2 linked regions of the Coturnix japonica genome follow. The protein of the gene in region 2 binds, or shares a complex with, the protein of the main gene of each other region. Links are inferred from orthologs where the notes say so. Each region holds a gene or a part of one and is shown on either strand. Other genes may lie near its edges. The genes, in order: CNOT11 and CNOT6L.

Region 1 (4,584 bases), on a different chromosome or scaffold from region 2:
ACATCCACATGATAGTCCTGAAAGAGTTCGCATAACTCTATCTACTTTTGCAATCATTTCTCAGAGCAGTGAAGAGAGAAACCTGCAGAGATACATTTACTTTCTGCAATGATAAGGGTCATACTAGAACTGAAGTCACCTATTCAGATTCAGCCAACACACTTCAGTGGCACCACGTAAGCTGCTTTTGCATAGGAGTTTAATTGATACAGGATTCTACAGTTACAGCTATAAAGTCCTGTAAGAGCATCCCTCTAAAGCCCAAATTACAGAGCATAAACAAGGTACATAGAAGTAATACTAAATTTAGCATATGAAGCTGAAGACGTGAAAGAGTGGTAAAATAAACTATTACAACCAATCAATATTTGCACTGTCAAATTTTAGGTGTTCTTCTGTCACAGTCTCTCGCTCTTCCATACCTGAAGGCTTAAGGGCTGACCTTCCATATTCTCTGTATTAGTGAGAACCATGTTTTCTATTACCTTGGTAAAAGCAAACCAACAAAAGCCCAACAACATGCAGGAAAGCCAAGAGCCTGCCATACAATGCCATCTTATGTTCCTTCCCTCCCCCTCCCAAGGAGGATATTAAGTAGCAGATAAAGTCTCAAGTAATCTGAAGGCCAAATTTGCTGGTCCCACACGAAATCAACACCATTTCTTATCCGGATGATTAATTAAGTGTAGTGCCCTCAGCTTCAGTACCCCATCCTTATCTCTTTTAACAAAGCACACTTTTTTGTGCAGCCATATAACCCTTTGCAGCTCCTCATCCGTATGAAACTCTATTTCAGATCCATGAGAGACGCTTACAGCAAAACTCCTGTAGGTAACAAAAGGACACAGACACAAAGCTCTGCCTACTGCTAGTTTATACTAGAAATGTCCATCTTCCAATTATGTCAGCCCATGCAAAACACTGGAATATATGCTCAAACTTTATACGCTGTTGGAAATTCCAGCTTGTGAGTTCTACCATTCAGCTCCTACAGGGATCAGCTGAGTCAACGTAAGAAGTTCTCTGAGAAGAAAACAAGGTGACATACTGGGTGTCCTTCATTGTCATCCGTAGTCTAAAACTTACACCTATATAGGTATAAAGTCATGGATTGGTTGTATACCCTCAAATCCCCTCATCTCAAATGACTAATGATGCTTAATTAGAACAAAAGTTTAAGATACATTCTTACATGTTCCCGAACATCTCCAGGGATGGTGACCCCACCACATCCCTGGGCAGCCCAGTGTAAGCAGAAGGAAGGGGTGAGCGCTGTTAGCTAGAACACGGTTGTATTTCAGAAGAGAACACAGCAACTTGAACCAGTATGTTCAAATTGAAGAAAACAATTCCTACGAATGCAATCACTTATGTTTTATCAGGCTCTCTTGATCTGGAGAATCAAGACGCTCTATTCCAGCAACTGACATTCAATAGAAGAGCCTACAAGAAAAGTTACCACAGTGAATCATAGAATCATAGAAAGGCCTGGGTTGCAAAGGACCACAGTGATCATCTGGTTTCAACCCCCTGCTATGTGCAGGGTCACCAACCACCAGACCAGGCTGCCCAGAGCCACATCCAGCCTGGCCTTCAATGCCTGCAGGGATGGGGCATCCACAGCCTCCTTGGGCAACCTGTTACAGTACGTCACCAACTGAACTGAAGTTTAGAAGCCAAGTACTGTATTGTGCAGAATAGAGTACCTAGGAAATAAACTGCTCGAGTTGGCAACTCATTCTAAGCAATATTTTCCATTTCAGATCAGCTCTAGATGCAACTTGTTGCTCCACACGATCAGAACAATCCTATTCCTGCCCAAGAATAAGCACTGAGTTCCTTATAGCCTAGTAAAGGCAGAACATTTAGTGTGAGCTAACACTGCAAAACCTGACCACAGTCCAACTTTTGCCACACAGACAGAAGCACCTCAAAGTCAAACAGCAATTAACATTTCACAGAATCACAGAATGACCCGGGTTGGAAGGGACCTCAAGGATCATGTAGTTCCAACCCCCCTGCCTGGCAGGGCCACCAAACATACACATTTACTAGATCAGGTTGCCCAGGGCCCCGTCCAACCTGGTCTTGAACACCTCCAAGGACGGGGCATCCACAACCTCCCTGGGCAGCCTGTTCCAGGGCCTAACCACTCTCCTATCACAGCACAGCCACATCTCCTCCTTACCCGCCAATGCCAGCTGTAGCCCGCTTATATCCACCGACTGGGCCATGTTGCCAACGTCCATGGCAGCGATCTGGCGCGGGGTCTTCTTGAACAGCTCCCTGGGGGGGGCCAGCATCAGCTGCGAGAGGAAGAACTTCTCGGGCGGGGTTATGGGCGGCAAGAAGCCTGCGGGGAGAGAGGGGAGCGGTAAGATTCCTGAGGCCATCACTACCCCGCGTGCTCCTTAAGCGTGGAGAGATCATCTCGTACAGTAACGTTACGGCAAAACGAGTGACCCTTCCCGCTGTCACAGCCCCGGCCGTTCCCGGCACCTGAGAGCGGGGTGCGCTCCGCCTCGTCGCCGCCGCGTTCGGGAGCGGGGTTGAGCAGGTGGGCGAAGACAGCGGCGAAGGGGTTTGCGGCGAGGGGCTCGGTGCGGTACATCTCCCATAGCAGGTACAGGGCGGTGAGGCGCTGCGCGGGGCTGGGCAGCAGGTCGGGCTGCTGCAGCAGCAGCACCAGCACGGAGCCCAGGCGGAAATGCTCGGCCTTGCCGAAGTAGTGGTGGAAGGCGCTGGAGAGGCCCTCGAAGGTGCTGCCGCCCGCCTCCTCCGACACGATGCCCAGCAGGCTCGTCAGCTCCTTCGGCGACAGGCTCATCCTGCCGCCCGCCGCTCCACCGCCGCCACCCGCTCCTCCCGCCTCACCGCCCGCCTCGGCCGGGCTGCCCCCGCCCCCGGGCATCCGCCTCACGGCGCACGGCCCCGCCGCTGCACAACACCGGAAGGCCGAGCGTTGAGGCGCCGGACGCGCTTTACGGCACGGCAGGGGATGGGCCGGGACATTGGGCCGGGACTGGCGGGGCGGGGCGGGGACGGAGCGCGACGGGCGTTGGGGCCAGTAGGGGGAGCGCAGCGCGTTCCACGCACACCGCCCTGTGGTGCTGTCATCTGATAGGACTAGGGGTAATGGGATGAAAGTACAGCATAGGAAGTTCGAACTTCTTTACAGTGAGGGTGATGGAGCACTGGAACAGGCTGCCCAGGGAGGTGGTGGAGTCTCCTTCTCTGGAGATATTCAAGACCCGCCTGGACGCCTACCTGTGTGACGTGGTGTAGGGAGCCTGCTTTGGCAGGGGGGTTGGACTCCATGACCTCTAGTGGTCCCTTCCAACCCCTACAATTCTGAGATTCTGTGACCTGAAACTGAGCAGCGGATTTTGTGCTTCTGGTGTGTGCAAGTTGTCTGGGTGCTCATCCACTCTCAAGTAGATCTGTGGTGCTTCTGCTCAGGTAGCAACAGAAATAGGCAGCAGGAGGGAGGTGAAAGAAAAAGGTGGCAAAGAAGTGATATTAAATTGACCTGCTTCACAGCAAGTGTTTGAGTTTCTTCTAGCGAAGAAGCTGAATCCTTCAGCTAGGAAATAACTTCCACTGGTGTATTTTTATCCCACATTTCACATGGGAAGAACACGATGGGAAGGAATTAAGTCACACCTTGAAGTCAAAGGGGAAATCAGAACACATCCAGATTGTTTTGTTTATTCTCACAAGGCTTTTCTCTTGTACACAGATTCCTTCCCTTAGTAATTTAAGTGACCCTGCCCATCTACAGTGTATTTTTAATAGCAACAAATCTAAAAGGGTTGGGGAAGTTAGGTTTCGTGTGAGCCTCTCCATATGCAGCTTTCTAGTGACCATTGCATGTTATCTTTCCTAGTTCAGCTCTTCAGTTCAAAACCTACCATGAGACAACAGAAACAGATTTATTACTCCTGGAGTAATCAACAATATTGGCGTGCTAACAATGCCTAAAAGCCTTCCTGAGCTTCACTTGTTCATCAGACCTCAAAGATGTCAAGCGATTCTTGGATGTATTTTGTAAAAACACCCCAGATACGATTTTACAATGGCTTCATATGTGCTGTTCCATGGTCATTCAGAAACAAACATGGTTGGTGATAAATTCTTGAGCTTCTGTGAACTGTAGTGACACTTGGGTATTTTAAGGCAGTTTTCAAGTGTCAGCCCATGTCAAGTCATTATTATTATTTTCCCCAGGGAGGTGGTTGAATCGCCATCCCTGGTTGTGTTTAAGAGCCATTTGGATGTGGTGCTCAGGGATATGAGTTAGCAGAGGGTTGTTAGAGTTAGGGTGCTGGTTAGGCTGTGGTTGGACTTGATGATCTTCAAGGTCTTTTCCAACCTGGGTAATTCTATGATTACTTGGATTCCTATGTGAACATCACTTGGAAACTCTTCACTCTGAACTTGAATTGGAGTATTCAGCTTTTATCGTCTGAGCTCTGCAATTGCACGCCTGACTCACTTGGCACTATTTCTGTTCCCTGGTTCGATGACTCCGACTTACGCTTTGTTTCTGTTTTCATCTCAAATCAATATCAGTTGGATCTTTGC
Region 2 (4,400 bases):
ATTTAACTTATTTTAAAGGTCTCTCGAGTGCTGTGTTCTGCTCTCTAACAACACATCCAACCTGACGCTGGCTCTTGAAGCCCTGCAGACCAGGTGACACCCGGTGCCTCACGGGCACTCTGGACTCACAGATCTCTTCCCAGAAAGCAAACCATTTGTTTGGATGTATCCCCCGCCCTCTAAACTTCAGCAACCTAAAAGTCTCCACAAGGCTGATCTAAGCACCAGTTCTGTGCTGTTACAGGAAATCTGCTCTAGAGCTGTGCATGTTACCGACACTATCACTGAAAGTAAAATGTTCTCAGAAAAAAGAAAAAGCACCTCCCCATTTTGCACAGTGACTCTGAACAAGGAAGACAGCAGCTGCAGAGACCCACCTCAATGTAAGATGTTCTTTGCAATCCTTCAGGTTTAAATTAGGTAAAGACACACCCTGGTGTGCAAATTCATTAACTCTTCTCCAATGGCTCCCTTTTATTTTACCTCCACAGTCCACAGACGCGTTGGGATCGTGTCCTGGCTGATTTCTGTAGGACTGGTGTGAGAGCTGAATATTGCTGTGCTTGGCAAGCTCAGGGCAAAGCCTGCCCTGCTTTTTATAAAAGCAAGATCAGTAAGGAAAAACAGCCAGAATCCAAACAATAAAAAAAAAAAAAAACAACACCAGCTTATCGCCCGAAACGAAGCTTTACAAAGATCCTTGCAAGGAAAAATAAACAAATAGCAGTCATAACACCACTTACTTCAGCAACAGAATGGCCACTGCAGATGTTCCCGAGCTCCTGATACCCGGGGCAGGGAGAGGAGCAGAGGCTGGTGGCGTCCCCACAGAGACAGACACACCAAGTCCTCCCACCCTCAAGGTGCTGAGCTTTGCTGGCAACCACACCACCGCCGCTACAGGGAAAAACACTCTTCAAAACGAAAACAAGCCCTATCAGTAAAAACGCACTTCTGCAGATAACTGCATCTACAGCAGGGACTTCTGCTGGCACAGCTATGTCACTCAAGGGTCACACCTCGCCACAGCGTTCGCACACAGAGCTGTGCCAGCAGAAGTTTGCCATATAGGCCTGGTGTGAAGCTCAGCGGACCAAAATGAATCTGCAAAGTTTGGTGTTTTTCATAGTGCTGCCAAACAAACTTTTTCCAGCAGTCTGACAACGAGTCCTCCTACTCCTTTGTTACAGGCACATCAGCATCTCAGTTTCTGAGGGGAAAGGAAACCTAACAGCAGCCCAAGGATGTGGCAGTACCTATCATCCACTTACATCATACTTTATACTTCAGTGAAATTCACAGCCCTTGCAGGAAGAAAAGGCAAAACTGAATAATGTTTGTTCTGTTGTACTTCAGCACTCTTCATGCTACAACTCCTCACTTTTCATAGTGAGAAAAGAACATAACTGATAGTGTCAAATGGGGTTTGCTTAGCGAGCGGCACAGCGCTGCAGAATTCCCACCTCTAAGCATGACCTGGCGGTCACGAGACTTCCATCAACCCACAACCAGTTCTGAAGACAGCAGGCAAAAAGATTTCACACCTGGGTAGATATTGGAACATAAGTTCAGTTCGGATGAATCAACACAGTACTGTGGGCCACACATACGGTGATGCACAGATATGGCAAGGTATGGAGCAGTATGACATCACCAGCACACGCCACTCATTTACTCTGGAGCAAAATGACACAACCAAGTAGCAACATCCCATTACCCTCGGCAGGACGCAGAGAGCTTGAGGCATTTGCAGTACCACAGCTCTCAGTTTGGAGAGCTCTGATAAGGCACACACCGGCCTGCAGCGGGGCACAGTGGGAACAGAAGGGGCTACGCTACCTCTGTCAGTCTGGAGTGCCGCCAGTGCATGGCCATGCCCAGCGAGCTGCCGTGTGGACGGACAGTACTCTCAGTACAAGGTTCACCATCACATCACATTTTGGGAGAGATACAGGGAGAAAACATTAGTGGTGCTGTGTTTGCAAAGGCCACACTCCAGCCCTACCAAAGCCCTCCAAACATGGGTGCTGCTTCTAGGAATTCCTGGGCTTTCGTCACAGTGACGACACTCTTACTGGACACAACACGCTTTGTATTTCTTTGTTAAAAAACTTGCACAGGGGTAAAAACATCTGCAAATGCTAAAAACAGCTGCGTTATCATTACTTTCATTATTGGCCATGTCTACACAAGCCAGGAGCAACTCAAGGCGAGCTGCTCCCCTCCATGCTGCCTCAGGGTGGGGGGCAGCTGCCTCTCAGAGCTGTGCTGGGCACAGCGGGGGCAAACTGCCCACCCCACAGACCGCATGTGGCCACGGGCCTCCTGTGCCAGCAGAGACCAATCAACACAACTTGCAGCTCCTAAAAGTGGACACTCAGTCTCCAAGTTTCAGCAGCGGGCAGACGAAGCTGCTCGTCCCGAGGTCCCGGGAGGTCAGACGGAACGTGGCCGAGGTTTTTGGGCGATCAGACAGAACACGGCGGGGCCGCCACACCGCGGGACGTGCTCCGCCATGTTCCACAGAGAAGTTTCCGAAGCAAGCCCCGAATTGCCGGTGCAAACTCGGACGTTCGTGCCCGTCCTCGCCTCCGCCAGCAGCCGAGCGCGGGGCCGCGGCGAGTGAACCCCCCTGGAGGGAAGCAACGCTCCCCGCCGCCCGGCGCCCAGGTGAGCGCCCGGCCCGGCTCGGCGTTGGGCCCGGGTATCCCGCACGGCCGCGCCCGGGCCCCGAACCGGGGATAACGCGCGGTCCCCCCGCCGCCCCGCATTCCCTCCGAGCGCTCTCCCTCCTCTCCCGGGCGGGCCCGCCGTCCCTCAGCCGCCCGGCCGGACACTGGCCCCGGTGCCGGCGGGCGGCGCAGGCCGCGACATGGCGGTCCCGCTCCCCGCCAGGCCCCGGCGGGCCGCGGAGCTCACCTGCATCCGGCGCGGCGGCGGCTGGCGGCGGGGCGGCGGCGGCGGGGCGGCGGGCAGCAACGACATGCGGGCGGCGGCCCGCCGGGGACGGGGAACGGGGCGGCGGCGGCGGCGGCTGCGGAGGCGGGGAGGAGCGGGCCGGGGCTCGGGCGGCGCGGAGGGCGGGGGAGCGGGAGGTGGGGACGGGAGGAGGAGGCGGCGGGAGCGGGGCGGGCGGCGCGGGGACCCCGGGGAGGCGCCGGGACCCCGAGGAGGTGGCGGGGAGCCCCCGTTGGGCCCTGCGGGGCGGCGGCTGCTCCTGGGGACGCCAGTGGGGACCCGATCGTAGGGAGGGAAAACAGCCCTCCGTGGGTAATTGTCGTTAATTACGGAGAGCGCCGTCTGACAGGGCGTACGTGAGGAGCAGGTCGCCCCGCGAAAGGCCTCTGGCAGTCGCGGACAGACTGAGGAAGTGACTCAGGTGTCGGGGTGACGGGGCCCCGCGCTCAGCCTGAGCCTCTGGGGGCGTAGGGCTCGTCTGGCATCACCTCTGTCTCCACAGGAGGTGTCCCCCTGCTGCCAAACCCTTTGGGCACCGCGCTGTCTGTGTCTGCAGAGCCGTGTCAAAGGGCAGGTAGAGCAGGTAAATGGTGTGTGTGCCAGCTTTGGAGCACAGTGTTCTCCAGCTGGGCACACCAGAGGTGGAGGCGGCCTTCCTGTGGGGACCATGCCTAAGTTCTACAAGAAAATGTGTGGGTGTCGAATGAGGGAAAGATGGAGAGTGGATTTTAAAGGGGGAAGATAAATTATGATAATAAAACTAGGGCAGAGAAAAGTGCAGGTCTTTGTGGGTTCACCTGTGGGACCAAAATAGTCGTATGTGAATGAGGAGCACAGAAGGAGCCTCCATGGTAGAGCACAGTTCAGCCAGCTGTGTCCAGTGTAAAGGAGTGGTTGTGAGCGGGTGCACACATGTACAGAGGAGGGCAGAGGGAGAGAGAAAGCAAGAAAAAAACCTTCAAGAATAACTTTACTGGGATGCGTTTTTATAGGAGAAAAGTCGTGTGCTGCCTCAGAAAGGCATGGGCACTGTGACTTCTATGACAGCTGCGCCTTTGGCTGGTCTGGTCATTTCCTCTCCTGAAAAATACCCACCCAATGGCTCACTGAAGGGACTGTACCTTCTCTTCTCCCGTTGCCTCTGTTAATCATTCTGTACATCTCCCGGCTCCCATTACAGGCCAGGGCCTCGCCACCCTCACCCCAGGTATTGTTTCCCTCCCTTCTCCAAAGGGAGCGTAACTGAGAAACCAGGTTCTGCAAGTGGCTGCCCAGGGTCACTGCTGGCAGGACCAGCATCTCCTGGGGCTTCACTAGGCACTTGGGTGGCAGACTGCAGCCATAGGCCCTGCTTCCTCTGCAGAATACACTGGTTACGTCTACATTCCTTGCTGTTTCAAGAGGTGATTTTTTTTTTTTCCTAGCACCAGGCAAGTTGTTTT

Evidence for each region.
Region 1: CNOT6L (region 2) and CNOT11 share a complex: the UniProt entries of both Homo sapiens proteins name them as parts of the CCR4-NOT complex. The link is inferred for Coturnix japonica from reciprocal best matches to the Homo sapiens genes CNOT6L and CNOT11.

Annotation. Positions count from the first base shown.
Region 1 is NC_029516.1:120,253,395-120,257,978, reverse strand, and holds the start of CNOT11 (CCR4-NOT transcription complex subunit 11), read right to left. Parts: upstream 2,984-4,584; 5' UTR 2,912-2,983; coding exon 2,500-2,911; intron 2,354-2,499; coding exon 2,189-2,353; intron 1-2,188. UniProt on the Homo sapiens protein: Component of the CCR4-NOT complex which is one of the major cellular mRNA deadenylases and is linked to various cellular processes including bulk mRNA degradation, miRNA-mediated repression, translational repression during translational initiation and general transcription regulation.
Region 2 is NC_029519.1:30,849,080-30,853,479, reverse strand, and holds the start of CNOT6L (CCR4-NOT transcription complex subunit 6-like), read right to left. Parts: upstream 2,989-4,400; 5' UTR 2,920-2,988; intron 2,671-2,919; coding exon of another isoform or gene 2,181-2,670; exon of another isoform or gene 2,166-2,180; intron 892-2,165; exon of another isoform or gene 744-891; intron 323-743; exon of another isoform or gene 1-322. Other genes in the region: MRPL1 (39S ribosomal protein L1, mitochondrial), read left to right, coding at 2,181-2,670. UniProt on the Homo sapiens protein: Has 3'-5' poly(A) exoribonuclease activity for synthetic poly(A) RNA substrate.